Elephas maximus indicus: one gene and its partners. The protein of the gene in region 1 interacts with the protein of each later gene in a pairwise test. Links are inferred from orthologs where the notes say so. Each region holds a gene or a part of one and is shown on either strand. Other genes may lie near its edges.

Region 1 (6,852 bases):
AATGAAGTTTTTAATTCTTGTGGAATCCAGATTTCTGGGCTGATATTATGAAAGATTTTATGCTAATTATTTGAAATTTTAGATTAAATGGACAAATTCCTTGAAAACCACAGCTTGCCAAAAGTGAACTAGATCATCTGAATAGTTGTATTTTTTTAATATAAATATAGATATTTACATTATATTTATAGTATAAATCCAGATTTCTGGATTCCATCAAGGTTGAAGTGACCCACCCAAGCTATCACCCTAAGATGATCTTTGAGCCTTGAGCCTTGAGAAAACTGCCTTAAATCAAACAATACCCATTCCCATCAAGTAAATTCTGACTCGTTAGTAGTTCTTTTAAACGTATTAATAGTAAAGAACATTTTGCTTTGGGCATTGTGCTCTTTTAAGGAATTATCTATGTACAGTTTCAACAAAATAAACTCCAAAGGTCAAACTGGGGTTATGTCCACGAGTTATGTAAATGCTGTTTAGGCCCTATTTCCATGGCAACATATAATTACTAGTGACAAGATGTGGTATAAGAATCTTTGGACTCTTTTCTTCTTTGGAACATTTTTTACTTTCTAGTCAAAAATGTTGCCTCAATTTGTAAAACCTATGTTAAATACACTTCAATCGATTTCTATTAAAGGCTTAATATGATTTTTGTTTGCCTCTCTGAGTAAGTGACAGGTGAAATGACTGGTTGGATGAACAAGAGGTGGACAAGAGGATTCTTTTTCCGTGCCTTCTTGGGAGTCACATTTGGATGTAGTTCTCTTCCTCTCTCTAGCCAGAAAAGCTGAAAATAATTTTTCCCCCTCTCTCTTGGGAAAGACTCCTTCGGGGACCTATTAGGACAGCGTGACTGGTGCCAGGAAACGGTGCGGGAGCAGACGCAGGTTCAGGTGAGCCGGGGGGTGGAACATCATTGTGACGGTGATGGGGAGCCTGGTACGAAACAGAGGGCCGGCTGGGCACGGCTCGACAACTGATAAGAAGTGGCGGATGGCGGAGAGGCCCCTCAGTCCAATTCTCCCTTGCTCAGACCCATTTCACAGAAGTTTAAGGCACCGGAGAAGACCCCGGCGCCGCGTACCCTCCCCCCTCCCACCACCCACAAGCCACCCATCGTTCACCAGCTCGGTCAATGGGCACGCGCCCGCTCCAACCGGCTGGACGCGCGCCCCGGCAGCCCTACGCATGCGCGACCTCGCCATTACAGGTAACAGACGCGAAGCGCTCTCGCCTTTCCAGAGGAGTGCGCCTGAGCTGCGGGAGGAGGCGGGGGCGGCTGGGCGGGACTTAGACGCTGCGCGCGCGCGCTCGGCCCCGCCCCTCCCCGACCTCTTTGCTTTTTTTCTGGCGGGAAAAGCGCACGCGCACCCCTTCCTCTCCCTCCCTTCCCCTGGCGCGCAACCGCCTTTCGTCGTCAGTGGCCCTCGGCCGGTCCCGAGACGTGGCTTCAGGTGCACTCTGCGTGTGGCGAGGTTCCCCAGAATAGCCCCAGGGGAGAGCCCTTCCCGAAATCTTGGCAAAACCCCTCAAAGAGAGAGACTCTTCAATATGCCGGGGGAAAAAAAAAACCCGTTGCCGTTGACTCAATATCAGGGCCTTCCAAATCCTGTTAAGAGTCCTCTTGAACTCATGGCGGAATCCCCTCAGAAACCTTCGAAGAAACCCATCCAGAAATCTTATAGGTGGCCCCTGAAATCCTGTCAGAATCTTCTAGAAGTTCTGTCAGCCTCTCTCAAAGCCTGTCAGAGACTCCCTGAAATCCTGTTACACCCCTAATCCTAGCAGAGACCCCAAAATCCTGTCAGATCCCCAGAAAGCCTGTCGAACTCACCAAAAGTCCTGTCAGACTCCCAGAATCTAGTCGAAGACCCCCTCCAGAAATCCTGTCAAAGACTGCCCAAAATCCAGACACCTCTCCAGAAATCTTATCAAAGACTTCCCCAGAAATCCTATCAGAAACTTCCCAAAATCCAGAGATCACCCCAGAAATCTTGTCAGAGATTCCCCAAAGTCCTGTCAGAGAACCACAGAAATCCTGTCAGAGACTTCCCAAAATCCAGTCAGAGACCTCCCAGAATTCCTGCCGAGACCCCCTCCCACTGCAGCTTCCCATCGGAAGTCTTGTTGGACCCTTATCTGACCAGAGACCCCTCAAGACCTCTTCAGAAGTTAGTCCCCAAATTCTGTCATAGAGCTTCTGGCTCCTGTCAGTGCCACAACAGGGACCCTTCCTCACTCAAGCCCCACAACCATTGCCACCTTTTGCACCCTCAAGGGTTGTCCAAACCCTGGAAGGGTCTCTCTTCAAAGACCCTCTTTTCTAGGACCTTCTATAAGCCGCGGAGAAGCGTGCGACTTTCAGCTGTGGATCCCGATTGGCGCTGGGGAGAGCAGAGTGTTGGGAGTATTTGGTAAGGACAGAGGTCTGAGGAGGTGGGTTGAGGGGTTCCCCACTGCCCAGTGAGACAGAGAGCCCCCATATGGCCCTAGGGTCACAATCACATTGACCATTCACCCTGGCATGCTCAGTTCAGCCCAGTGGGCACCGTTTGGTATTGTGGAGGATCAGTCAAGTGGTAGACCTGGTTATAATGGAGGCAGCACAGGACATTGTCGGAGCACTGAGGAGTCCCAGGCTGCCCCAGGGACTCAGGGAACGTGTCCCAGGGGAACTGTGAGTGGGGCCGGGCTGGGGGTGGGAATGGCACCCAGAATATGGCCAAGGCCTGGAACGACTGGCCTCTAGCTGGGAATCCAGAAGAGGACCAGGACCAGGTATGGAGGGAAGATGCTGGACTTCCATTGCCATGATGAGGGTGAGGGACCCGGGAATGGGCTGTTGGAGAGAAAAATAGCAAAAAGAGAGAGGATGTTTCAGGGACTCCTGTGTGCAAGACCTTGAACAACAGCCCGAGGGGCTGGGATTCAGTCCTGGTGACACTAGGAAGCCATGAGAGGTTTGGGAGCAGGGATGGGGTCAAACTTGTGAGAAGCCAACAGTTCCAATACAGACTGATCTGGCAGTAAATAATGGCGGGAGCTCAGGGCAGTGTGGGGATCCAGAGACAGTGCCTGGTTCAGCCCAGGAGTGGAAATCAGAATTATCTTCCCAGAGTGGACATCCAGGCCAAAGCAGGAAGGGCTGACGAGTCAGTTCCTGTGATAGTGGCTTGGGGAAGGATGAACAGCATGCAGTTCTGAGTTGCTAGAGCATTAAGTGGGATTTGGGGTGGGGAGGTGGATGAGGCCAGGCCAGGCTCAGGAGCTGGGCTCTGTCCTGGGGGTGCTGGGGAGCCATGGGAGGGTATTGAACAAGGAAGGGCAGGTCAACTCTGGGGTCATGTGTAGAAGGGACTAGAGAGGAGAGACTGGAGGCTGGGAGACCAGAGAGGAGGCTAGGTGGAGGCTAGGTCCAGGGGGAGAGGACGAGGCCTGAGCCAGGGTTGTGGGGACAACTGGAGGCAAGGAGGCCACCCTGTTCTCCCTGACCAGGAGGCAGTGCCCCCTACTCACTAGCCCCCCGCTTTGATCTCTGCTGCCTGCGCCCCAGGCCCCCATTTTCCCAGCCCACACCTCCAGTCCATAAAACAGGTCAGAGCGGGCACTGCTTTGGTCCAGGCGGGGGTGGGCAAACAGGTTCTGAGACCCGAGAGCAGCCTGGGGCATAGGCAGGGTGGCACAGGCCCCCATCTGCGGGTGCCCAGTCGGAGGAAGCCATTCTCTGATTGTCCTTCCAGGAGCTCTCGAGGCAGCCAGTCCCCTCCCTGCCCCCCCTGTTGACGGAGGGAGGCTGTTAGCTTTGCCCGCAGCTTCAGAGCGGGCGGAGTGGCCCATGGACCTACCTGAGGGCTGGGCTGGTGGCCCTGCTGCAGCAAGTAAGTGGCTGGCTGGCGTGGGGGGTCAGTGCTGAGCAGCGAGCAGTGGGTTAACAGGGCGGGCCCCAGTGACGACTTGGGAAAGTTGGCTTGTGTGGCTGAATCTCCACCTTGGGGCAGGGGCGGGAGGGAAGGAGCAAGCAAACATTGATTAAGTACCTACTGTGTGCCCACCTAAGCAGCCCTGGTGGTGAAGTAATTCAGCACTTGACTACTACCCCAAAGCTCCGAGATTCAAACTCATCCAGCGGCTTCTTGGGAGAAAAGATGTGGCAGTCCGCTTCTGTAAAGATTACAGTCTAGAAAACCCTTTGGGGCAATTCTACTCTATCCAGCTGGTTTGGTTCACTTCGGTTCGGTGTGCCCACCCTTCTGTACACCTTGTCCTGTTTCTCTGGGGAGGCCAGACGGTGAGAGCAAAAGCCTTTGCACGCACTATTCCCCGGCCTGGAACTGCCTTCCCCAGTTACCTGCAGGTTCATCCCTCACATTATTCAGATCTCAAACCAAATGTTACCTTACTTCACAGAAGACAGCTGCCCTGTGACACTCTCTCCCTTTTTCTGCTTTGCTTTTCTTCACAGCACTGACATCTATTTGTCAGTTTAGTCTCAGTCTCCGCCACGGGAATGTGAGCAGCGCTTTGGTCTCTTTCATTCACTCTGCGATTCCCAGTCCCTAGAGCAGTGCCATCCAGTAGAAGCTAATATGCACCACATCTGTAATTTTCAATTTTTTAGTAGTCGCGTTTTTTAAAAAAGTAAAAAGGAACTGGCAAAATAAATGGCAATCATGCATTTTATTTAATCCACTATACCCAAAATAGTACCCTTTCAGCCTATAATCAGTACAGCAAATGAGATTATTTCACATTCTTTTATTCATACCAAGTCTTCAAGAGCTGGTGTGTATTTTACACTAACAGCATCTCAGTTTGCACTCTCCGCAGTGGCAAGTAGCTGCCGTATCGGGCAACATAGCTCTAGAACAATGGCTGGCACATAGTAGGAATGCAATAATTATTATTTGAATGACTGGGAGAATGCAGACCAAGTGGGTATAAAAGCTGCTTTGGGAGGAAGGCACTGGGTTACCCCTACTGAGACTCCTCAGGGGGTGTTGTGACGATGTGGTGCAGCCTTAAAGCTGGGACAGGGTGAGCGCTCCACAAATGGTAGTGATTTCAAAACCAAACTGCTCCTCAAAGCAAAACATTCCTGTTCTCGCTTTTCCCAAACGGGAAAATTGAGGCCTTGAAAGTCTTTGGCCAAAGGCCACACGCCTAGAAGTGGTAGAACCATCTAGACTGTGTTATAAGCACCCTCTGATGGCTCTCAATCTGATGTGAGGGCAGCTCTCCCACCCTTTGTTCAGTCTGAAAGGGGAGACAGGGCTCCCACCCTCTGGGAAAACCCAGTCTAAAGGGGGAGGGAGGTCCCCCACCTTTAGAAGAGCCCAGTCTAAAGAAGGAGGTAGGGCTCCCACCCTCTAGGAGAGCCCAGTCTGATGGGAGAGGCAGGGCTCCTACCATCTGGGAGAGCCCAGTCTAAAGGAGGAGGCAGGGCTCCCATCTTTGGGAGAGTCCAGTCTAATGGGGGAGGCAGGGTCCCTTTCTTAGAGGCTCCCAGCTGTCAGCAGCAGAGCCAGCTTCTTTTCCCAAGGCCCCACGCCCCAGGCCTGACTCTGGCCTCAGGAGGCTTTCCAGATAGGAATTCCAAGGCAGAGACCAGGCTGCGGAAACCAGAGGGCTGCCTGGCCAGGCTAAACTTCTCCTGCACCAGCAGAGGGCGTGCAGACACTGAGGAACCCGCAGGCAAGAACTGAAACAGCTTCAGGAGGCTCTGAGGAGAGAGAGGAACACACCCAAAGGGGGAGATGGAGACAGAGAAGGGCAGGAGGGGAAAAAGTCAGAGAGACGGCTGGAGGAAGGAAAGAGAAGGCTTGGGCAGAGGAGAGTCACTGAGAGATGGGAAGAGAAGAGAGAAGAAGGGGAGACAGGGAAGCAAATGAGGGCAAGAGACCTGGAGAGGCAAGACACAGGCGAGACAGACTGGGCGAATGAATGAGAGAAAGCCATCTAGAAGAGGCAGGGACAGAGACACAGAGAGAGACATCAAGGGAGGGTATAGATGAGTTCTGATCCTCAGAGCCCGTGGGATCGGGTACAGGGAGAAGATAAGACTTAAGGGAAAGCCCCTGGCACAGGCCCTGGCATCTCCCCTATCTGTGGGTTCCTGCCCCTCTTCTAGGCCAAACCTAGAAGCATGGGTTCAAGCCAGAGGGATGCCCAGTTTAGCTCACTGAAGAACCTCTGAAGAGTTAGAGGGATGAGAAAGAGGCTCATATGTTCAACAGGTGGCCTTGGGCAAGTCTGTAACTTCTCTGTGCCTCGGTGTCCTCATCTGTAAAGTAGGGCTAATAGTACTGACTACCCACATGGTGGGATGAGTTAATCCATGTGAAACGCCCAGAACAGGACTGACACCTGCTAAGTGCCGGCAGGAGCTTTCTGGATTTTACATCATTCCTTCCCTAGGAGGGAGGTAACACCATTCCCATTCTCCAGAGGAGGAAACGGGCTCAAGGAGGTCAAGTCCCTTGCCTCAGATGCCACCCCTTGTCTGAGGCAGAGCCCAGATGGCCCGGATGGGCCCAGCCCCACAGGTTTCTGAGGCCAGGACAGGCGTGCATCTATTGAGCACCTACTATCTGCAGGCACTGTGGATACAGCAGTGGCCAGAACAGACCCCATGACATAAGAGCTTCACATACACAGACCGAACCCATCTTACCTTCACCTTGTTGGCTGCCATTGAGTTGATTTTCAACTCACAGAGACTACATGTGACAGAGTAGGACTGCCCTCATAGGATTTCCAAAGCTGTAATCTTTATGGGAACAGATCACCAGGTCTTTTCTCCCACAGAGCTGCTGGTGGGTTCAAACCACCAGCCTTTCAGTTAGCAGC
Region 2 (7,828 bases), on another chromosome or scaffold:
GCAACTGGTGGATTTGAACTGCTGGCCTTTTGGTTAGCAGCCGCTCTCTTAACGACTACACCACCAGGGCTCCAATGTTAATAACTAAATATATGGGAGCTTACCACATGCTAGACTCTGCTAAGGCTTTACATGGGTTACCTCATGTAATCTTCCCAGCCTATCAGGAAAGTATTATTATCCCTATTGTACTAAGGCCTAAAGAGCTCAGGTGATTTGCTCAAGGTAACACAGCTAATGGGTGTAGAATTCAAACACAGGCAGTCTTATCTGCAGTCTACACTCTTCACCACTACTTGGTAACATCTCCCAAAATATACTACTATGTTAAACAAAGCTATCAGGTGCCTGTTAAGTTATTCTAAGAACCCATAGTCCCTACCTATGCTCCAGCATTTACACTGTCTTTCCAGTGTGTGGGCTACATACCTATTCCCACACTGCCACTGTCTTTCAGTCTTTTTGGAGCTCCCCTTTTGAAACTGTCCAGCTTAGTTAAGGCATTTTTATTTAGCACTTAATGCGTAACAAAGGGAGTCCCCGGGTGGCACAAACAGATCAAGAGCTATGCTGCTAACTGAAAAGTTGGTGGTTTGAGTCCACCCAGAGGCACCTGAAAAGAAAGGCCTGGTAATCTATTTCCAAAAGATCAGTCATTGAAAACCCTATGGAGCACAGTTCTACTCTGATATGCATGGTGTCACCATGAGTCAGAATTCATGGCAACTGGTGATGCCTGCAGAATCACTATGAGTCGAAATCGACTTGACGGCAAGAGTTTTTTTTTTTTTTTTGTAACGCCTAACAAGTAGATTACACATGTCCTGACAGCTCTGCAAGATAGGTTGCCCTTATTTTACAAATAAGGAAAACAAGGCCTGGGTTTCCTGTCTGACGTTACACAGCTAGTAAGAGATAGAGCTAAAATATGAGCCCAGATTGCCTGACTCCAAAGTTAGTCCTCTTTCTACTGAATAACTAAGCTGCATTTCTTTACATGCAGTGTTTCTCCTTCTGGACCCACAATGGCATTATCCAACTTACATACGGAATTTCTCCAAAGTGGTTAAGATGGCACAAGACATTCAAAACTAAGACTACTAATGTTGACTTACTACAGTCAACTCGTACTAAGATCTGTAGATTGTTCACTTATTACAGGCATTGTAGACAATGTTTAAAGCTAATTAATGGGCACCACTGGAATAATTCTTAGCCTCCCAAAGTGACAACTCTAAAGGGTAATAAAACTTTCATTTGAGTTTAAAGACAGTCTCATAGTATGTTTAGAAAAATTGGTTGCATTATAGTCAACCCTCCTAAGCAAGAGCCCACTGCCGTTGAGTCAATTCTGACTTACAGTGACTCTACAGGACAGAGTAGAACTGCACCAAAGGGTTTCCAAAGAGTGGCTGGTGGATTTGAACTGCCGACCTTTTGGTTAGCCGCCAAATGCTTAACCACTGTGCCACCAGAGTTCCAGTTAGGGATAAGAATGGTGACCAATCTCTTTGGGCCAAATTCTACACACATTTCAGATAACTCAGAGCACTGTTCACATTTCTATCGTGAAGGTCAATTACTTGAAGACCTAACTGATACCTTGAGTCCCAACAGAAGTGTTGCGCGAAGAAGTGGCCTTATCTTGCTTCTTGATACTATAAGAAGTAAAATTCAAACATGGAAGCTTTTAAGGCAGTCTCAAAACTCCGCCTTCTGCCAGAAGACATCTTTGACCTCTCAAACCCTAGACTGCAATAGTGAAAACCACCTCTAAAACTTGTTGCCCATTTACTCAATGCCGGCCAGCCTGTTACTAATAGCTTTACGTGGACTATCTCATTTAACTCTCCCGACAACCCTATTAGGTGTTATTAGGTGTAATTTACATATGAGGAACCAGGCACTGAAAGGGTTAGTTACTTGCTCAAGTCAAATACAGTAAAACCTGCAAAAGCCGGAACCCATATCAGAGAAGGAAAACTCATATATTTTCCACTAAGCCGAGCAACAGAAAAGTGTTAATTAAGAGTGCACCCTGTCAAAGGCGTAAAACTTGAGAGACCTGGAAACACAAGGCAGTTTCTGTCGAGTTCCGGCTCTCACAGGTTTCACTTTAGCTAGCAAACAGTGGATACAGCACTAGTACTCAGGCATTTCAGAACTGCCGTTCTTAATTATTACAGTCTTCAGTCTCTTACAGCTCCTTGTGCTTGCTGCCATAAGGCTGCCCACACCCTACCCCTTGTCGCAGTTAATTAAAAACTACACCCCCTGGAAGTTAGAGGCTGGCTTTTGGCTTTATTCCCCAACCCCAGAGCACTTAATGAAGCGCCAGGAACCGATAATGTGTTCAGTCGTATTCGTTGAACTGAATGACACATAGGTAGGAACTGTTCTAATGGGTAACTGTGGACAGACGCGACAAGGTCCCACCCAGGCTGTGAGCCGCAGTCTTTGCAAAGGCTGCGAGCACACTTAGAGACACTCTTCTCTCCGGTCAACCTGAGTTTTCTGAAGGAAAGACCCAGCCGGCTGCCCTTTCCCTCGGCCTCCTTCCTCTTGAGGTCAAAATTCCAGCCCTCCCGCCGCAGTCGCACTTGGGTAAGACCACACTCTCCCTCTCACATTTGCTCCTGAGCCCGGGCTCCTCCTGCTAACATTCAGAGGGATGGGAGCCCCTTACCGTCATTGCGCTATCCCCTCCGTAGAAACATGTGCCAGAAATGACATGCGTGCAGCCATCTTCCCGGAAGTGCTGCCTTGGTACTTCTAGGCTGTCGAAACCATAGAGACGCCCGAGGAAACCAACGTCCGGGTCCTCCCAGGAGAAACTCTATGATGGAGGGCAGCTTACCTGTGTGCTCACCATAGGAATTGGGCCCTGGAGTGTACCCGTTTCCGGAGGTTCTGGAGGGGTTCGGCTTGCTTCCTCTCTGCAGGTTCTGAGCGGCCAAGGGACGATGGCTTTCCCAAAAAGCTGAGAACAGCTTCGGGTCCCACCTTCAGTTAGTCCTGGGCACAAGATGGAAAACAAGGGGAAGCACCGAGTTACCTGAGAGATGGCAGAGAAGGAGGTAGCATTTCTGCGGTGATTTTGCGGGGACGAATACTCAGCCTATAGGAAGTTATTTATAAAAGCCTAAAGGCTAGAGATTTTAGTAGGTTCATCAAACACTTTTTTGACTCATTACGATGTCCCAGGACCTGTGCCTTTGGTATTCGGGATACAAAGATGCCTAAGACAGGAGCCCTGATTGCGGGGAACACCATGCTAACCACGGAAGTTGGGACCTTCGGTGGAACTGGAGGAGATGGGGTTTAGGGCACGGAGAGAGAGAGATGCAGGATCCAGGAATGAATGACAGGCTGAGCAGTTTTGGACTTGCCTTGTAGGTAATGAGGACCTACTGAGCAGGGGAGGGGAAAAGATTTTACAAAGAAACCAGCAAAAGGGGTTGCACCTGCCCCCCCTCCCACAAGCTATCCTTAGGCTTCACTCAGCCACCCTTTCCGAACAGTGCCCAGGAACTAAAACCTGTTTAAAATCTTTCTTATCCTCCCGCCCCATGTCAATACTTTCCTTCACTTAGCGCCCCCTAGGAACTTCCGAAGAGAAAAATCGCCATTTCACAGTGAAGAGTTCCTATTACAACTGCTCAGTATGTCATATCCCCTTGTCTCCGTAAGATTTTTTCCATAAAATTAATTTTACTTTTAAAATATGTTACATGGGGACAATACTTTAAACAATGGATCTTGGTTACTGAAATTTTAGATGCTTGCAGAAGGGTTGTGGGATGTTTCAAGGGACTCCTAAATTCACTAGAGGAACATTCTGTGAGCTGAGTCCCTTTCCCACTCTACCACTAATTGTGTGACCTTGAACAAGTCACTTCTCGTAGCCCAAGAGCACCCCTTCCCTGATTTGTAAAATTAGGGTATTGGACTAGTTCGATAATTTTGCAAACTTAGTTTTATTTCAGTGTCTGAGGAGCCACTGAGAAAATTACATACACAGGACTTAAGTTTTCATCACCCCTCCTCCATCTCTTCTACCACTCCCATGTCTTCTACCACTTCTCTTTTATATTTTAATGTGCATGTGTATAATTTATAATATGTTTGTATGAAATGTAATGTATACAAACATTGAATACTTTGAAAACTCCTAAGTGAGGTAACCTCGAGAGCCCTTTCCAGCCCACAATTCCTGTGTGGCATACTTTGCAGGCCACTCTGAAAATTAGGTGGCTGTAAACCTTTAATTTAAGACTCCTAGTCTGGCCTAGGACCTTCAGCTCTCTGCTTTGCTGACCCATTCATTCAACAAACGTTTATTAAGGGTCTCCTATTTTTTTTTTTTTTATTGACCAGGGGGAAACCCTGGTGGCGTAGTGGTTAAGTGCTACAGCTGCTAACCAAGAGGCTGGCAGTTTGAATCCTCCAGGCGCTCCTTGGAAACTGTATGGGTCAGTTCTACTCTGTCCTACAGGGTCACTGTGAGTCGGAATCGACTCGACGGCAGTGGGTTTTTGTTTTTGTTTTATAGACCAGGGATTAAAACCAGACCAAAACCCGTTGCTGTTGAGTTGATCCCAAAGGACAAAGTAGAACTGCTCCAGAGAGTTTCCAAGGAGTGGCTGGTGGATTTGAACTGCTGACATTTTGGTTAGCAGCTGAACTCTTAACCACTTCGCCACCAGGGCTCCATAGACCAGTGATTAAAGATCTAAAAGTATTCAACCCTTGTCCTTTTGGGGCTAATAATCTTGTCCACACAAAAGCCTGCATATGAATGCTCATAGCAACATTATTCATAATAATCAGAAAGTGGAAGCCCAAATGTCCATCAACTGATGAATGGATAAACAAAATATTGTATAGATATACAATGTAATATTATTCAGCCATCAAAGGGAATGAAATACCACATTCTTCTCCAGCATACATGGATCATTCTCTAGAAAAGACTGTATCTTAGACCGCAAAGCAAGCCTCAATAAATTAAAAAATATGAAAATAAGGCAAAGCATCTTCTCAGATCAAAACGCTGTAAAATTAGAAATCAATAACAGGAAAAAATCAAATACTTGGAAACTGAACAATGCCACTCTTAAAAACCACTGGATAATAGAAGTTAAAAATGAAATCTAAAAATTCCTAGAATCAAATGAAAATACAACATATCTAAACTTTTGGGAAAGAGCAAAAGCTGCTCAGAGGCCAATTTATAGCAATAAATGCACACATCAAAAAAGAAGGGCCAAAATCAATACCTTAGCTATACAACTTGAACAAATAGGAAAAGAGCGGCAAAAAAAGCCCACAGCCAGCCGAAGAAAGGAAATAATAAAGACTAGAGCAGAAATAAGTGAAACAACAATTGAAACAATCAACAAAACTACAAGATGGTTCTTTGAAAGGATCAATAAAATTGACAAACCACTGGCCAAATTGACAAAGAGAAATATAAATAACCCCAATAAGAAATGAGATGGGCAACATCACAACAGAATCAACTGAAATAAAAAGGATCATAACAGAATACTACAAAAAATTATGCTCTAAAAATTTGAAAACTAGAGGAAATGGGCAAATCCCTAGAAACACACTACCTACCTAAACTAACACTGAGGTACAAAATCTGAACAGACCCATAACAAAAGAAGACATTGAAGAGGTCATAAAAAAAAAAAAGAAAAGAAAAAACCCTGGCCCAGACAGTTTCACTGGAGAGTTTTACTAGACATTCAGAGAAGAGTTGATACCAATACTACTCAAACTATTCCAGAACATAGAAAAAGAAGGAATACTCCTGAGTTTGTTCTATGAAGCCAGCATAACCCTGATATCAAAGCCAGGCAAAAAAAAAAAAAAAATTTTTTTTTTTTTTTTTTTTTTTTGGCAAAGGCACCACTAAAAAAGAAAATTATAGGCCAATATCCCTCATGAACATTGATGAAAAAAATCTTAAACAAAATTCTAGCCAATAGAATCCATGAGCATAAAAAAAAACCAAAAACATGACCAAGTGGTATTCATACCAGGTACACAAGGGTGGTTCAAAATCAGAAAATCAATCAGCGTAATCCACATAAATGAAACAAAGGAAAAGAATCACATGATCATCTCAACTGATGCAGAAAAGGCATTTGATAAAAGTCCAACACCCATTCCTGATAAAAACTCTTACCAAAATAGCGATAGAAGGGAAATCCCTCAACATCATTAAGGGCATATACAACAAAACCAACAGCCAACATTATTCTCAATGGACAGAGATTGAAAGCATTCTCCCTGAGAATGGGAACCATACGAGGATTCCCTTTATCACTACTCTTATTCAACATTGTACTGGAAGTCCTAGCTGGAGCAATAAAACAAGAAAGGGAAATAAAAGGCACCCGTATTGGTAAGGAAGAAGTAAAACTATCCCTATTCACAGATGATATGATCCTATACATAGAAAATCTCAGAGAATCCACAAGAAAGCTACTGGAACTGATAGAAGGATCCAGTAAAGTGACACAGTACTAGATCAACATACAAAAATCAGCTGGATTCCTCTACACTAACAAAGAGAACTCCAAAAAGGAAATCAGGAAAAGAATACTATTTACAATAGTTCCCCAACTGGCATAACATAGTTCATAAACAAAATATCCAACATCCCACTTTGGTGACATAAAACACTTATACAAAGAAAACTAACTACAAAACACCACTGCAAGAAACCAAAAGAGACATTCATGAATGGAAAAACATACCATGCTCATGGATAGGAAGACCTAACATTGTGAAAATGTCAATACCACAAAAGCGATCTATATATACAATGAAATCCTGACCCAAATCCCAACAACATTCTTTAACGAGATGGAAAAACTAATCATCAACTTTATATGGAAAGGAAAGAGCCCCCAGATAAGTAAAACATTACTGAAAAAGAAGAACAAAATAAGAGGCTTCACACTACCCGATCTCAGAATCTACTATACAGCTACAGTAGTCAAAACAGCCTGGTACTGGTACAACAACAGACACATAGACCAATGGAACAGAATTGAGAATCCAGAAATAAATTCATCCACCTATGGACACCTGATCTTCAACAAAGGGTAGAAATTCATTAAATGGGGGAAGAGACTGTCTCTTCAACAAATGGTGCTGGAAAACTCGATATCCATTTGCAGAAAAATGAAACAGGAGCCATACATCTCCCCATACATAAAAAGTAACTTGAAATAGGTCAAAGACCTAAATGTAAAACCTAGAACTATAAAGTTCATGAAGGAAAATATAGGGACAACACTAGGGGCTCTAATTTATGGCATAAATAGAATATTAAGCATAATTAAAAATGCACAAACTCCAGAAAATAAACTTGATAACTGGAACTTCTTAAAAATTCAATATTTATGTTGATCAGAAGAATTTTCCATAACAAGGTGTGTATAAATTTTTGTATGAGAAACTAACTTGAGCTGTAAAGTTTCACTTAAAGCACACACACACAAAAAAAGACTTTTCCAAGAGAGTAAAAAGAGAGCCTAAAGACTGGGAAAAAATCTTTGGAAACAACATATCTGATAAAGGATTAATCTCCAAAATATTCAGAAAACTTCAACAACTCAACAATAAAAAGCAACCCAATCACAAAATGGACAAAGGACATGACAGATACACACCAAAGAGGATATTTAGGTGGCCAACAAATACATGAAAAGATGCTCACCATCATTAGCCATTAGAAATGCAAATCAAAACCACTATGAAATAACATTTTCCCCCTGCAAGAATGGCATTGATCAAAAATTCAGAAAAC
Region 3 (7,977 bases), on another chromosome or scaffold:
CTAACATTAATTCAAAGAAGCAATTTTAAAATAAATTCTACTTACGGCTGCACGTCGGACATACACAGGATGAGAAAGGTGTACATTGTTAAGAAGAAATAAGATAGAATCCAACGTGTAATACTCTCTGGGTTGGCCTTCCTTTCCAGTCCTAAAATCATTAAGGCAAGATTTTTACCAACAATTCTAATTCAACAATTTGAGCTTAATTTAAGGTACTCATTTATTTATACCCACTTTGCTGCTTAACAATGGATTTAAAATAGCTATCCAAAACACACTAAAGTATATAAATTGACTACTAAGTCAAACTGTTTTTAGGACAAAAAGAACACAAAGGAAAACGAGGAGAAAAAGCAAGAAAAAAGGAAAGCACGCAAAATTCACGCTCTTTGGTACTATAAACTTTTTAGAATTAGGCTCAGAACTTTGTCAATAGCAAGAGAAACCTAACCAGTTACAGATAAGGGAGAACTTATATGAGAAACAACGAAATTGTTAAGGAGAAGCACAGCTATGATTGGTGCTACAACTTAAGACAATTTTATCTTACGGCTCTTCCTAAAGTAGATACTGCTGAACAACATCCTCAACAATTCTTACAGTAACCGACAATGAATTTTAGAGGTACGCTTCTTACGACACCCCTCAGATTAGACCAGTGACGTTACCCAAAATGCAGCCGCACCTAGGGATGCAGCCTCTCTAACTCAAGCATATTACTTGCCAAACCAACGTTGGCGTCTGATCCCACTCCTCTTACTTCATTCTCCCACCCAGAAGTGAAATGGTCAGTATATTATTAGAATTCATCTGAATGCAGCCCACTGCAATTAGCCCTGAATCTACTTACCTAGCTTCTATTCCTATTTTTCCTTTAAATCAATGTATTTCAAGCCACACATCGCTATGCTATGAAATCAAATACTGTATGGGTAACTACCAGGCTTTCTTTGTTTTTGGTGATATAGAAAAGAATAGAAAAATAACAATGCACTGCATGCAACAAGAGCTTTAATGTTATATCTATTTACGTAGCTATAAAAATGTTAACGTTTGCACGTATAGATATATATGAATGAAAATATATTTCTTGGTTTGAGTCATTGTTCTGAAAGTTTGAAACCTACTGTTCTAAGCATGCTTTTTTCACTGTTATTGTTATCTGTGAACACATTTACTTTCCAGCTCTCATGCCTCTATACATGCAGTTCTATCATCTTGGAAGACCTAACCCACCGTTTTACTCACAGAATTCCTGCCCGTTCTTTAAAGATTATTCATTTATTCAAGAAAAATGTATTAGAAACCAACATGCCAAACTTACATCTATGAAATTTTTCCTAACATCCACCCGACTGAAGTGACTGCTTTCTTTTTATGAGACAGAAAACACTTCACATCAATTTATGTTATCGTCTCTATTCACATTAAATAAACCTCCTCTGAGGCAGGGATCAAGGTCTTAAGAATTTTTCTATTTCTCACATTGATTATTGAACTGCCCTGCACCCTGGGTATTCCTAAACCACTTTCCTAGAGAAGAAAAAAAATTAAAAATTCAATCATATGTAATCTTGTCCATGCAAATTATTTTGTAAAGATTAAAATAAAAAATTTCTTTAAAACTTCCCACAGTAAACTGAGAATGTCATTTCACTCACATTTCATAAAGCTAAATTAAATCATAAGACCTCGAGATAAAAATAAAAACAAAAGAACCAACCAACAAACAAAATTGCCCTTAACTTCTGGGCAACTCTTCATAAAGCCCACTGCCCCGCTTCACTCTATCTTTCCCTCAGTCAAACAAAGCTGGATATGGAAGTCCTGGTTCAAGGTTCTAACGCCCAAAGGAAGCACCAAAGAAAAGTGGCGTCACTATTTTTTTTAATGATTATTAGACCTGTCTCTGGATGTTTCGCTGAGTGATTTAAATTCAAGAAACCCCACGTGGATCAACGTTCCAAGCCATTTTTCTTTAACTCACACTTCCCAAAACCATGCGCATCTTCAATTTCTTAATTAGACCTATAAAACACTCACTCCATTCCACTACCAACTTTTTCCCTGAGGAAACGCCTGCCTCCGCCTCCAACACAGATTTTGACGACTCTTCCAAATTAATCTAAACCGCTTCCCACCTAAACTTCACAGAGTTGATTCCCTTCTCTCTTAAGGGATAACCCCCCTCTCCAACACGAAAGGGGAAGAAATAAAGCAGGAGCTGCAGGGCCAGGGGAGACAGTCACCACACACGGCAGCATCAAAGAAGAGAAATAAAGAACAAACAGGGACGTCCCCGGCACCAAATGATGTGTTCCTTTGTGCACCTACGCTCAGGTGTACTTGTGCACCAGCCCTACACATTACGGGTACTCGATACATACCTACAAAAATGAACGAGAAAAGTCACCTTCTTCTATGGCTTCCCCAATTCTAAAGAGGTGGGTCGCTCCAGACACAGCGTCTCAGCCCAAAGTGCAACTTCTGCTCCGGACAGAAACTTTTCGCCCGAGCACCCTGTTCGTCCCCGTCCCCAGGGGAAACGGGAGGAGGGCTCAGCAAAGAGGTCACTTGGGGGCGCCCAACTCTTCCCTGCCGCCCGGCCACGGCCATACCGCACTTACCCCCACACCACATAGTTGGTCTTGACGTTCTTGGGCCAGGAGAACTCCCCGAAGATCACTTCGTCTCCCTTCACCACGATCTCCTTCTTCTGGATGTTGTACTGTCGCAGGACGCTGAGCACGTCCGCCATCTTCCCCCCCCTCGCCGCCGCCGGACCCGGGCGCCGCCGCCGCCGCCGCGCCTGCCTCCGCCTTCCTCCGTCGGCTCGTCGTCCTCAGCGGCCGCCGCCGACGCTGCCGCGAACAGACAGCGGAGCAACTAGCAGCCGCCCTCGCCTACGACAGCAGCGGGAGCAGTAGCCACCCAGGCCGCCGAGGACCCCGCGCTAGAAGGCAAAGGCCCCGCCGCCGGCTGCCCGCGGAGAACGCCTGACTGCACGCCTCCGGCGCTGCGGGCCGCCGCCAGGGGGAGCCGTGAGCGCCCGGGAAAATGCCCCTCCCAGACTTCCACTCGACACCGAACGCGGAGCGCAGGGACTCTGTGCCCACGTACGGCGCACGTACAAGGAGTATTGCCGGTTACCCGCGCACGCGCGCGAAGCACGTACTTCATCCCCCGCAGCGCGCACTCCACAGGCGACAGGTGCGCGCGCACCTGCGTGGCTGGTGTATCCTTCTCTCCCTGGAGCACTCGCTGAGCCCTGTGCAACCTCTTTGGGGGCGGCCAAAGGCTCTCGCGTCGCTACTTTGCGAGGGTGGAGCTTGGCCAAGGATTTGCAGGAAAAGTAGGATTACCTTCCCATCTAGATATGACCTAGATCTACCAAAAGGCCTCTAAATGTGATCCAGATAAACTCCTTTAGAAGAGTTTTTTTCGGTGGACTGTCTTAGTGGAAAAGACCGAGTACGGCAGACCTCAATTCCGGGAACCACTATTTATTAGCTGTTGTTTGAGTTTGGTCAAATTACAAACGTTCTCACAGCAGCACCAATTGGTTTAATGGATAAAATGGGATTAATATACAGATATTAGCTTCAGGGATGTTATGAGGATTGTATGAGAATAAGGTGAAAGTGTCTACTAAATCATCAAAATAACATAAATGTTCTCTTTACACCCTCCATTCCATACATGGAGTCCTGGTGGCACAGTGGTTAAGAGCTATGATTGCTAACCAAAATGCTGGCTGTTCAAATCCACCAACCGCTCCTTGGAAACCCTATGGGCAGTTCTGCTGTGTCCTGTAGGGTAGCTATGAGTCAGAAGGGACTCAACTGCAATGCTTTTTTTAGTTGTTTTAATTCCACACATGACTTTCCCCATTTTGGCCCTTTCCCTCATCCCTATTCCCAATGGGCTACAAGGGCCCTGTTCTGAGATACTAATGGAAAAGTTAAAAACCAGGAACCCGAAACTGTTGTCAGTAGAAGAACACTTTCAGACAACCTGATTTTTGCTGGCACCCAGAAGACTCAATGAGTGTCCTACCAGTGTTGGGAAAGTTGAAATAAATTCAACCTGTGTACTCTAAGCAAAATGTATATCTTGGGTCCCATAATTTTGTTATAATTATTCTTTCTACTAAAGTAAAAGGGGGAAAAAAAGGAAGGTGATTGACACACCCAAATTCCTTCTCCTGATTTGAAAGAAATAAATTTTTGCTATGTGCAATAGGAGATGATATAAAAGTATGTGGTTCATTGCTGTACTATCTGTAGTCATTCTGCAACTGTGAATTTGATACATTTTACCTGTTTTGCACATGTTCTCATGTTCTCACCCCTAGGATGATTTCCTGAATCTCACTCAAAACAAACCCACTCTAACTGACTACTGTCTTATCCCTACACAGCCTACTCTATTCATACTTTGATCAGTGCAGCCAATATTACTTGACTGCCCTTATTAGTTTACTAACCTGTCTTTATCTACAAAACTAAAGGGCTGTAGACCTTTACTGTCATATCCTAATACCTTGCACATTATTTAGCATATAACATGCCCTACTATTATGTCAGTGTGTCATACTGTAGTGGCTTACATGTTGCTGTGATGCTGGAAGCTATGCCATCATATTTCAAATACCAGCAGGATCAGCCTTGATGGACAGCTTTCAGCAGAGCTTCCATATTAAGGCAGACTACAAAGAAGGACCTGGCAATCTATTTCTGAAAAAATTGGCTATGAAAACTTAACAAATAGCAACAGAACATTGTCTGATATATTGCCAGAAGATGAGCTCCTCAGGATGGATGTCACTCAAAATACAACTGGGGAAGAGCTGGCGCCTCAAAATAGAGTTGACCATAGTGACATGGATAGAGTAAAACTTTTGGGACCTTCATTTGCCGATGTAGCACAATTCAAAATTAAGAAGAAAAAGCTGCAAATATCCGTTAATAATGGGAACGTGGAATGTACAAACTATGAGTCCCGGAAAACAGGAAGTCATCAAAAATTAAATGGAACGCATAAAGATCAATATTCTAGGCATTAGTGAGCTGAAAGGGACTGGTAATGGCCATTTTGAATCAGACAATCATATGATCTACTATGCTGAGAATGACAAATTGAAGAGGAATGATGTCACGTTCATCATCAAAAATAACATTTCAAAATCTATCCTGAAGTACAACACTGCCAGTGATAATATCCATAAGCCTATAAGGAAGACAAGTTAATATGACTATTATTCAAATTTATACACCAACCACTAAGGTAAAAGATGAATAAATTCAATATTTTTACCAAAACGGATGTCAGAAGACTCTGAAACTTGCACTTGAACATAGACTACATAAAGCAAATGAAGAAATGACGAACTAAAGGAACTGAAGATTTCAAAAGGCAGCTCGAGAAGACAAAGAATTATAATGAAACATGCAAACACCTGGAGTTATAAAACCAAAAGGGAGTAACACACTTGGTATTTCTCAAGCTGAAAGAACTGAAGAAAAAAAGTCAAGCTTAGAGTTGCAATATTGAGGAACTCAATGGGCAAAATATTGAATAACGCAGGCATCAAAAAGAAGATGGATGATGGGGCCAAGATGGCGGGGTAGTCAGACGCTTCCGGTGATCCCTCTTACAACAAAGACCCAAAAAAACAACTGAAATGATTATATATAGGACAAGCTAGGAGCCCTGAACATCAAAGGCAAAGTTAGGAAATCAGACTGAGTGGCAGGGGAGGGAGAGACAGTTCAGAAGCAGCAAGGAGTTGCCAGACCTGACTCTATGGAAACCAGCAACCCTCAGGCACGATCCACTACAGCAACCGTGGCAGGGCTGGCTGTAGCGTTCCAGATGCTGCTTACTCAGGGAGAGACAGTGCACTGCACAGTCTACTCACACCTCCGGAAGCAGAGAAGAACAGCACTCTTGACAAAAGCTAAGTATTGCGTTTATTTTACCATGAAACCAGCCCTCAAACTGGCTTCAGTGGTTGTCGAGATCCCTAGGCCTGAGATAGGTCTTACTGCACGCCTTAGCCATTCTCCCAGCCATGGAGAAGGAATAAATTAACAATTAGGGGGAAAGATAATCTGCCAGCTCCACTAAGATGGGGGGCTCAGGACAGAAGCAGCTCCTGTCCAGGCACAAAGAGGCTGCAGACTTCGAATAACTTTCACCCCTATGCAGACCCGTGTGGGCCCATTTCAGGAGAATAGGCCTTTGTTGGCAGACTGCAATGGTGTATGTGCTTGAGATCTGGTTTCAACTGTTTCAACTGTGCAGTGGAGGGGAAGGTTTTGGTCTTTGACAGCATTTTGCCTGTGAAACAGGGTCCTCAGCAGCCCACATCAGGGGCTTGAGGATTGGTGGCTCCACCCACATCATCTAGTCACCGCAACAGGGGTCCAAGGATAAGTGGTGCCTCCCAGTCCTTACAACCAAAAGCATTAGGTGCCCATGGTCCAGCTACAAAACCCAGCCACCTGTGTGCTCTAGGGAAGAATCAGTCTTTCCTCACAGATGCTTGGGAGATAGTTGTCAGCCCCATACCTTGTTCAAAGCATGACCCCCTGCTGCAACCAGATACCGGTACCTACACCAATCACCCCTGCCCCTCTAAGACTGTAGGACAGAGTCTGTATCACACACTTGATGACCAACTACCTGGACACCTGAGCTGAACCCATACAAGAAAAGTGAATGGGCTCCTAGGCTCATAAACCTGGTGACAGCTCTAGCCACTGGTCACAGAACGTTAGTGCTTCAAAGGCAAAACTAATCAAGCTAGCTCATTCACATAGCCTATTTTGGCATATCAAAACAAAACAAAGAAGCTAGGATACAGTAAACAAACTTAAAATAAACTGATATAATAGCTTAAAGATGGCTTGGAGACATCAGTCAATAACAAATCACATAAAGAAGCAGACCACGATCACTTCAACAAGCTCTAAAAACAAAGAATCAAGGAATCTTCCAGATAAAGATATCTTTCTGGAACTGCCAGATGTAGAATACAAAAGATTAATATACAGAACTCTTCAAGAAATCAGGAACGAGATCAAGCAAAACGCAGAGCAAGCCAAGGAACACACAGATAAAGAAGCTGAAGAAATTAAAAAGGTTATTCAAGAACATAATGAAAAATGTAATAAGCTCCAAGAATCATAAGATTAACAATAAAATTACAGATATGAGAACTCAATAGAAAGTCAGCAGAGCAGAATTGAGGAAATTGAAGCCAGAAATAGTGAGATTGTAGATAAAACACTTGGCACCTGTGTATTTGAAGAAAAATCAGATAAAAGAATTTTTTAAAAAATGAAGAAACCCTAAGAATCACGTGGGACTCTATCAAGAGACATAACCTATGGGTGACTGGAGTACCAGAACAGGGAGGGATAACAGAAAATACAGAGATAATTTTTGAAGATTTGTTGGCAGAAAACTTCCCTGATATTGTGAAAGATGAGAAGATATGTATTCAAGATGCTCATCAAACCCCACAAAAGGCAGATCTCAAAAGAAAGTCACCAAGACATAATCGAACTTGCCAAAGCCAAAAATAAAAAAGAATTTTAAGAGCAGCTAGGGATAAATGAAAAGTCACCTACAAAGGAGAGTCAATAAGAATAAGCTCAGACTGCTCAGCAGAAACCATGCAGGCAAGAAGGCAATGGGATGACTTATATAAAAAATTGAAGGAAAAAAATTACCAGCCAAGAATCATATCCAGAAAAATTGTCTCTCAAATATGAAGGTGAAATTGGGACATTTCCAGATAAACAGAAGTCTAGGGAATTTGGAAAACCAAAACCAAAAATATAAGAAATACTGAAGGGAGTTCTCTGGATAGAAAATCAATAACATATCAACCCAAGTTTAGTACACAGGACAGAGCAAACAGTTATCAACCCCAATAGGGAAATCACAAAAATAAAACAAGATGAC
Region 4 (7,456 bases), on another chromosome or scaffold:
ATGAGTCAGAACCAACTCGATGGCACCTAACAACACCATTTCAAGAGTAAACAGGGAGAATTTTTTTCCAGGCTGTTGAAGTATTCATTTCTTCCTATTTATGTTATTTATGTCTAATTTTATTACACTTTGGTCAGAGAATCCAGCTATAATACATTTTTTTTTTGTTAGTGTATTCAGGTTTGGTTTAGATCGATATGGTCAATATTTGAAAATAAGATATATTCTCTAAGTCCAGAGTTCGTTCTCTGACCCTCTTTCTCTCTGGTTCTTCCTTGACGAATAGATAAGACAATCTTATTAATTGTATTGTTCTTAGAGCACAGTGTTAAGAGCACAGGCTCTCATGTCAAGCAAACCTGGGTCCAACACTTGCTGTGTGACCTTGAGTACATTACTAGTCTCTCCAAACCCCAGGTAAAGTAGGTATAGTATGGTATAGTATGCCACTGAGTGTTGCATAGCCCTAAAAGAGCTTTTGATTTTTGTACACATTTGTTTTTTATTTCTAATGAATTCCAAATAGTTGGTCTACAGTAACTCCTATCACAATCTCCTATGCTCTCTTATGCTCTACTGCCCTAGGCTCCCAGAGCTCTCTCACTTGTTTATGCCAACAAAATTCTCTCTCTCATTCCACCATCTGTCCTTTACTCATTCTCATCCCCATATGTCATGCTCCAAACACATAATCCTGAGGGAATGTTGTCTTCTGTTCTAGTGCTTTTCTCTCAATAATCCACCCCCTGTGCTTTCCCTGTATCCCTTGTCTTTTTTCTCCTCAAAGAATGGTGGAAGAAATAGGAAAAGAAGATTGTGACAACCCCACATATGTATGTTAATAGATTTTATCTTATTGCAGCTATTTAATAGTCTCATTCCTTTACAAGTCACACCTCACATGTATCAAACCTTAGAGTTCACAACCCAAAAAAACCATTGCTGTTGAGTGGACTCCGACTCATACCAACCCTATAGGACAGAGTAGAGCTGCCCCATAGGGTTTCCAAAGAGAACCTGGTAGATTCAAACTGCTAACCTTTTGGTTAGCAGCCATAGCTCTTAACCACTATGCCACCAGGGTTCACAGGAGCCATATAAATCATCCGACCACCAAACTAAATGGATCATTTAAACAAGGTGAACTGCACAAGGTTACAAAGCTACTCAGCTAACTTGTCCCAGCTCAGGTCCTTCTCCAATATTTTATGCTGAATTTCTTGGGAATTTCCTGAATATAAAATTTGTAATGGTTTCTTTTTAATGCACGCAGATAAGTTGCTTTTAGTTTTTCTCCAAGCAGTCCATCTGACTGGGAGAAAGAATGTTTTACAAAATTCTGCCAGCTTAACAGAAAAATAAACCTAATACAACTTGGACAAAGGACTTGAACAGTTCACCAAAGAGGACAGTCAAACAAGCACAAGAAAAGATGCTCAACATCATTAATTGTTGTTGTTAGACGCTGTTGAGTCAGTTCCAAACTCATAGTGATGCCATGTACAACAGAACCAAACACTGCCTGGTCCTGTGCTATTCTGACATGTTTGAGCCCATTGTTGCAGCCACGGTGTCAACCCATCTTGTTGAGGGTCTTCCTCTTTTTTGCAGACCCTCTACTACTGCCTTTCAACCTGAGGGGCTCATCTTCCAGCACTATATCAGACAATGTTCTGCTGCTATTCATAAGGTTTTCACCGGCCAGTTTTTTCAAAAGTAAACCGCATGGTCCTTCTTCCTACTCTTAGTCTGAAAGCTCAGCTGAAACCTGTCCACCAAGGGTGGCTCTGCTGGCATTTGAAATACTGGTGGCAAAGCTTCCAGGATCACAGCAACACACAAGCCACCACAGTAAGACAAACTGACAGACGTGTGGTGGCATTAACCATTAAAGAGATGCAAATCAAAATCACAACGTGATATCATCTCACCCTTATTAGAATGGCAATGATAAAAAAGAAAAGAAAAGAAAAAAAACAGGAAACAATAGGTATTGGTAAGATTGCAGAGAAAGTAGAACTCTTATCCACTGCTGGTGGGTATATAAAATGGTGCAGCCGCTTTGGAAAACTATTTGGCAGTTCCTCAAAAAGCTGAACATAGATCTACCATATGATCCAGCAATCCCAATCCTAGGTGTAAACACGGAAGAAGTGAAGGCAGGAACACAAACAGAAGCCTGTACACCAATGTTCACTGCAGCACTTTTCACAATAGCCAAAAGGTGGAAACAACCGAAATGTCCCTCAAAAGACAAAAGAAAAACAAAATGTGCTATATACACACAATGCAATACTACTCAGCCATAAAGAGAAATGAAGTCCTGATGCATGCCACCACATGGGTGAACCTTGAAAACATCATGCTGAACGAAATAAGTCTGTCACGAAAGGACAAATACTGTATGATCTCACTTATATGAAATAAGCAAATATATAGAGACCAAAGATTATTAGTACTTACCAGGGGTGGGAGTGAAGGAGAAGGAGGAAATTTTTGCTTAGGGGCATTGAGTTTATGTTAATGGTGATGGAATGATTTTGGAAAACATAGAGAATGATTGCACGACTTGAATAATGTAATCAATGTCACTAAATTGTACATGTAGAAACTGAGTTGGTGTATGTTTTGTTACATGTATTTTCATCACAATAAAATTTTTTTAAATATACAATGGAAAAGAGACACAGACATTAGGAAAGATGGTCATGTGAACATAGAAGCAGAGACTAGAGTTATGCATTTACAAGCCAAGTGTTATGAATTAAATTGTATTCCCAAAAAATGTGTGTCAACTTGGCTAGGCCATGATTCCCAGTGTCACGGATTGAATTGTGTCCCCCCAAAATATCTGTCAACTTAGGTCATGGTTCCCAGTATTGTATGACTGTCCATTTCATCATCTGATGTGATTTCCCTATGTGTTGTAAATCCTATCACTATGATGTAATGAGATGGATTAGTAGCAGTTATGTTGATGATATCTACAAGGTTAGTGTCTTAAGCCAATCTCTTTTGAGATACGAAAGAGAGAAGCGAGCAGGGAGACATGGGGACCACCGTAGAAAGCAGCACTGGGAGCAGAGTGTGTCCTTTGGACCCAGGGTCCCTGCACCTGAGAAGCTCCTCGACCAGGGGACGATTGATGATAAGGACCTTCCTCCAGAGCTGACAGAGAAAGCCTTCTCCTGGAACAAATGCTCTGAATTCGGACTTCTAGTCTCCTAGGCTGTGAGAGAATAAACTCTCTTTGTTAAAGCCATCCACTTATGGTATTTCTGTTATGGCAGCACTAGATAACTAAGACACCCAATATTGTGTGACTGTCCACCATTTTGTCATCTAATGTGATTTTCCTTTGTGTTGTAAATCCTACCTGATGTATATGAGGCAGGATTAGAGGCAGTTATGTTAATGGGGCAGGACTCAAACTACAGGATTAGGTTGTAGCTTGAGTCAATCTCTTCTGAGACATAAAAAAGAGAAGTGAGCAGAGAGACAGGGGGACCTCATACTACCAAGAATGAAAAACCAGGAGGGGAGTGAGTCCTTTGAACCCACAGTTCCTGCACTGAGAAGCTCCTATAATGGGGAAAGATTGAGGACAAAGACCTTCCCCCAGAGCTGACAGAGAGAAAAAGCCTTCCCCTGGAGCTGGCACCCTGAATTCGGACTTCTAGCCTCCCAAACTGTGAGAGAATAAACTTCTTTTTTGTTAAAGCACCCACTTGTGATGTTTCTGTTACAGCAGCACTAGAAAACTAAGACACCAAGGAACACCAAAAATTGCCAGGAACCACCAGAAACTGGAAGAGGCAAGGAAAGATTTTCTCCCCTAGAGCCTTCAGAGGGAACATGGCCCTGCTGATAACATGGTTTTGAACTTCTGGTCTCCAGGACTGTGAGAGAATAAATTTCTATTAATTTAAGTGGCCTAAAAAAGAAAAAGATTCTGCCCACCATTCCTCCCTTCATTCTTCAGTTACCCACTCACCACCTTTTCACTCCCTCCTCATTGCTTCAAAAAGAAGCAAACCCACAGTTGAACTCATTTCAAAATTCTGAGGAAGACAGCAGGTACTTTAGAAGAGTGGAAACTCTACAACACCAGGGTTGGGGAGAGATGACTGAAAGAGGGAGAAAAGCCTTATACAGAGAATTACCTGATACACATGAAGGCCCACACTGGGAGCACCTCTTCTAGGTCCCACCACCCAAATGGCTTTTTTCCCCTTAAAGAAACTACAGGGTTTGAATCTGATCCAGAAGTCCATCCTTGTCTCATCCTGGAATGGGAGCTTGACTTGTGAGTGGAGTAGCTCCAGCCAATACAGTAGCAAGAGAAAGGGTGGCTGGGGTGCCCACTGATGGGAGGAGCTCCTGAGCCCAGCCCTGGAGGACTGAAGAGTTCTGGGGCCCACTCAAATCGTGCCAGAGAGCAAGAGAGAGGAACTGGGGTTTATGAGTACTGTGGCTTTGTCTGTTTCCTGTTTCAGCAAGGCTGCTGTAGAAAAAGAAAGACATTACCAAGAAGGGAAATGCCGATGGGGCCCAGGGCCACGGACTGAGAGCTTGCACTTCACTCAGCTGCTGTCTTACCCCATCTGAGACCAGAGCCAAGATCTGCCCAGGAGCTGGCATGCTTTCCTGAGCTGTTGGGGCTGGAGCCTGGTACCCAGAGGTAACTGATAAGAAGGATGCTTTTGCATCTAGGTTTGAGGCCTCCAACTCTGGGGGGGGGGGACAGAAGACAGAAGATATTCTGTCATCCAGGCTGCCCAGGGCGGAAGAGGGAGACACAGAAGTGGGTGGCATAGTTTAAAAGAGTCATCGATTTCAGTAACCAAGAAAGGGCCCTGTGTTGATTTTCAAAGGCATTAGCCACAGCACAGGGGTACAGTATCCATCCCTCCTAGATTAGAAGCAATCAAAAGACTTAGGGGATGCCCACAACATGAAGCAGCTTAGATGTTGGCCCTTCTCTCCTCAGCTCACACTGAGAGCTCTGGGTAAGCAAGGCCAGACCTATGCAGGAAGCCATCTGCTGTCTGCTGCACACACATCCAGGAAGCCCCTCTCGAGTGAGGTGCAGTCGCTCCGAATTTTTTTCTCTGTGGCAGAGAGGGAGCCTCACCCACCCAGCACCACCTCTTCCTCCAAGTTCCAATTGGGCCCTGTCATGCTACCAAGGGGCACCCAGAGATGCCAGCAAGCCTGGGCAGCAGCCCAGTGACCTTTCTTTGAACCCCACAGGGACCAGTTCCTTTTTCTTCTACAGCCCATCCTTGTCAATCAGGCATCCCACATGGCTTCTTGTTTTTAAGCAAGTCAGAAAGGTTTAGACAAGTCGGAAAGATGGGTATGGTTCTACTTGTCTGTGCCACACCGGATGTAGGGGTCTGGGGACCTGGGAGGTCTGCTCTAAGGAGCCACTTCTACTGTGACTCCCCTCTTGGACGATGAGTTCCGGTATCTACCCCTCTGTCATTTGTTCGGTGCACCAATGTACCCAGACTAGGTAGAGAACCCAGACAGACCCATCTCAGCTCCCCGCCCTCCCCCACCCACCCCACCCCTGTCTCCACCCCCACCAGCCCTTCCCTCTTGCGACAGGGAGGTGGGAGGATTCTGAATAAGGGGATTCGCCTCCACTAAAAAGCCTGAGAGTAACCTGGGGCCAAACAGGGAGGGGAACCAGAACTTCACATTTGATGGGTGGGATTCAGGCAGGCTGGACCCCAATTCTTCACCCCCACCTGTTCTTCCTGTCTGGCCTGAGACTGTGGTTGTACCAAGACGACAGAGGAGCCCTTTCTCCTGGTGGCCCAAACCCAAAGGCCAGATAAACTGGAGAAGGACATTTGATTTCAAGCTGGGGCATCCTCTCAATTTCCTTCAGAGAAAGAGAAGGTTCAGAGAATTAGAGAATGAGGCATTCTTGGTCCTGGAAGAGGGCTAGGTTAGCTTGGGGTCTTTGTCTTTCACCAACGAGCCTTCAAGAACACCCAAGATCAGAATAAAAAAAAAGAATGGCAGGGGTAATAATTAAAACACCTCATATAAGGCTAACATTTTCTGTGTACTATGTGCCAGGTGCTTCATATACATTTTCTCATTTAATCCTCACAACCCTACCAGGTAGATTCTAGCCCCATTTTATAAATGAGGAAGTTGAGGCCGAGGGAGGTTTAGCTGCTTGTCCAAAAAAGTGTAGGTAGAAGGTGACAGAGCCAGAAAATGAATCCACACAGTCTGACTTCAGAGCCAGGGCAGAATGGTTGCGGTGATATGGCTTAGGGACACCACGAGTATAAGTTCGCACAGAGAGCTGACATGCAAATATTCCTGACTCTCCTCCATACCTTAGTACAGATGGGCCACTCAGATATTTTACTAAGTTTTTATAGAAAGAAGTGACTGGTAGAAAGTCAAGAGACTCCCACAGAATAGGGGTAACAAGTCTGAACAAAGGGGATTGCTGTTCAGGGATAATACACAGAGGACAAACATTTAAAAAAAAAAAAAAAAAAACTTCACAATTCATTGTGCCCCTCAAACTCTGGAGGGTCAGGCATTTGAGAGCATCCAGGGCTTGGCCACCTAACTCCTCTCAGGCAGTGAGAATTTCGCACTCATGACTCTGTGAAATGAGGAGCATGATCAGAGAGAGAGAACAAGAATCCTGCAGAGAATTCCGGACTGAGCTGGGATGAGCAGCAAAGTTTCAATAAAGGGGCAGAGAGGCTGCTACCTGTCCAGTCTGTTTGGCCTATAAATAAACATGAGGGCCCATCTCGAAAATTCCTTGTATCTGGTGAAGCTGAGATTCCCTTCCCTGGCCTGCCCAGGAATTAAGGTTCCCAGGGTGGTGGTAGTGAAGTTTCGGGAAGAAGAGAAGCGGTGGCTGTGAGGGGAGATCCACTTCCTTCATCAGTAGCTGGTCTGACTCCAGGGACCAAAAGAGGGAGGACAGAGTTGCCAGTGTTCAGGGTACAGCTCATCCAGGTACACCCCAACTCAGCAAAGCCACCAGAATGTACTACTAATTATGCACATTTGCAGAAGGTACGTGTGGCGAGTAGGAAGAGAAGGAAGGAGAGAGAAGGGTTTGGGTGTTATGTGAACGGCAAAAGGTGAGACCCCGCAAAAGGTTCTCAAGTCTTCTACACTGAGCCTGGGTCCCTGGAGACCTTTGGTTACTTCGAGTTGTTTTTGTTTTGCTTTTATTTATAATATCTTTGTTGAGGTATAATTCATGTGGTTACTGGTTTTGATGGGGCTCTCTACACTTGGGTCCAGGGAGATTAGTGGGCTAAGGAAAGCAGTCTTGGCACCAGCCTTAGCTCTAACAGGGAGGTAATCGCTCCTACAAAAAAAAAACCCAGAAGCCTCAGTTGGGAGAGTTAACGAGCCAGAAGCTCTGAAATGGGTCCTGGCAGCACTGGACATGCAGCAG

Evidence for each region.
Region 2: the proteins of KASH5 (region 1) and GPATCH4 interact in binary tests that used the Homo sapiens proteins (3 or more experiments, as listed by UniProt). The two-hybrid records come from large-scale screens. The link is inferred for Elephas maximus indicus from reciprocal best matches to the Homo sapiens genes KASH5 and GPATCH4.
Region 3: the proteins of KASH5 (region 1) and CDC73 interact in binary tests that used the Homo sapiens proteins (3 or more experiments, as listed by UniProt). The two-hybrid records come from large-scale screens. The link is inferred for Elephas maximus indicus from reciprocal best matches to the Homo sapiens genes KASH5 and CDC73.
Region 4: the proteins of KASH5 (region 1) and TRAF3IP3 interact in binary tests that used the Homo sapiens proteins (3 or more experiments, as listed by UniProt). The two-hybrid records come from large-scale screens. The link is inferred for Elephas maximus indicus from reciprocal best matches to the Homo sapiens genes KASH5 and TRAF3IP3.

What each region holds. Positions count from the first base shown.
Region 1 is NC_064829.1:99,849,824-99,856,675, forward strand, and holds the start of KASH5 (protein KASH5), read left to right. Parts: upstream 1-3,841; coding exon 3,842-3,884; intron 3,885-6,852. UniProt on the Homo sapiens protein: As a component of the LINC (LInker of Nucleoskeleton and Cytoskeleton) complex, involved in the connection between the nuclear lamina and the cytoskeleton.
Region 2 is NC_064821.1:194,355,432-194,363,259, forward strand, and holds the start of GPATCH4 (G patch domain-containing protein 4), read right to left. Parts: upstream 3,001-7,828; 5' UTR 2,687-3,000; intron 1-2,686.
Region 3 is NC_064842.1:58,646,274-58,654,250, reverse strand, and holds the start of CDC73 (parafibromin), read right to left. Parts: upstream 3,006-7,977; 5' UTR 2,762-3,005; coding exon 2,631-2,761; intron 152-2,630; coding exon 46-151; intron 1-45.
Region 4 is NC_064836.1:20,811,019-20,818,474, forward strand, and holds the start of TRAF3IP3 (TRAF3-interacting JNK-activating modulator), read left to right. Parts: upstream 1-4,442; 5' UTR 4,443-4,681; intron 4,682-7,456. UniProt on the Homo sapiens protein: Adapter protein that plays essential roles in both innate and adaptive immunity. Plays a crucial role in the regulation of thymocyte development.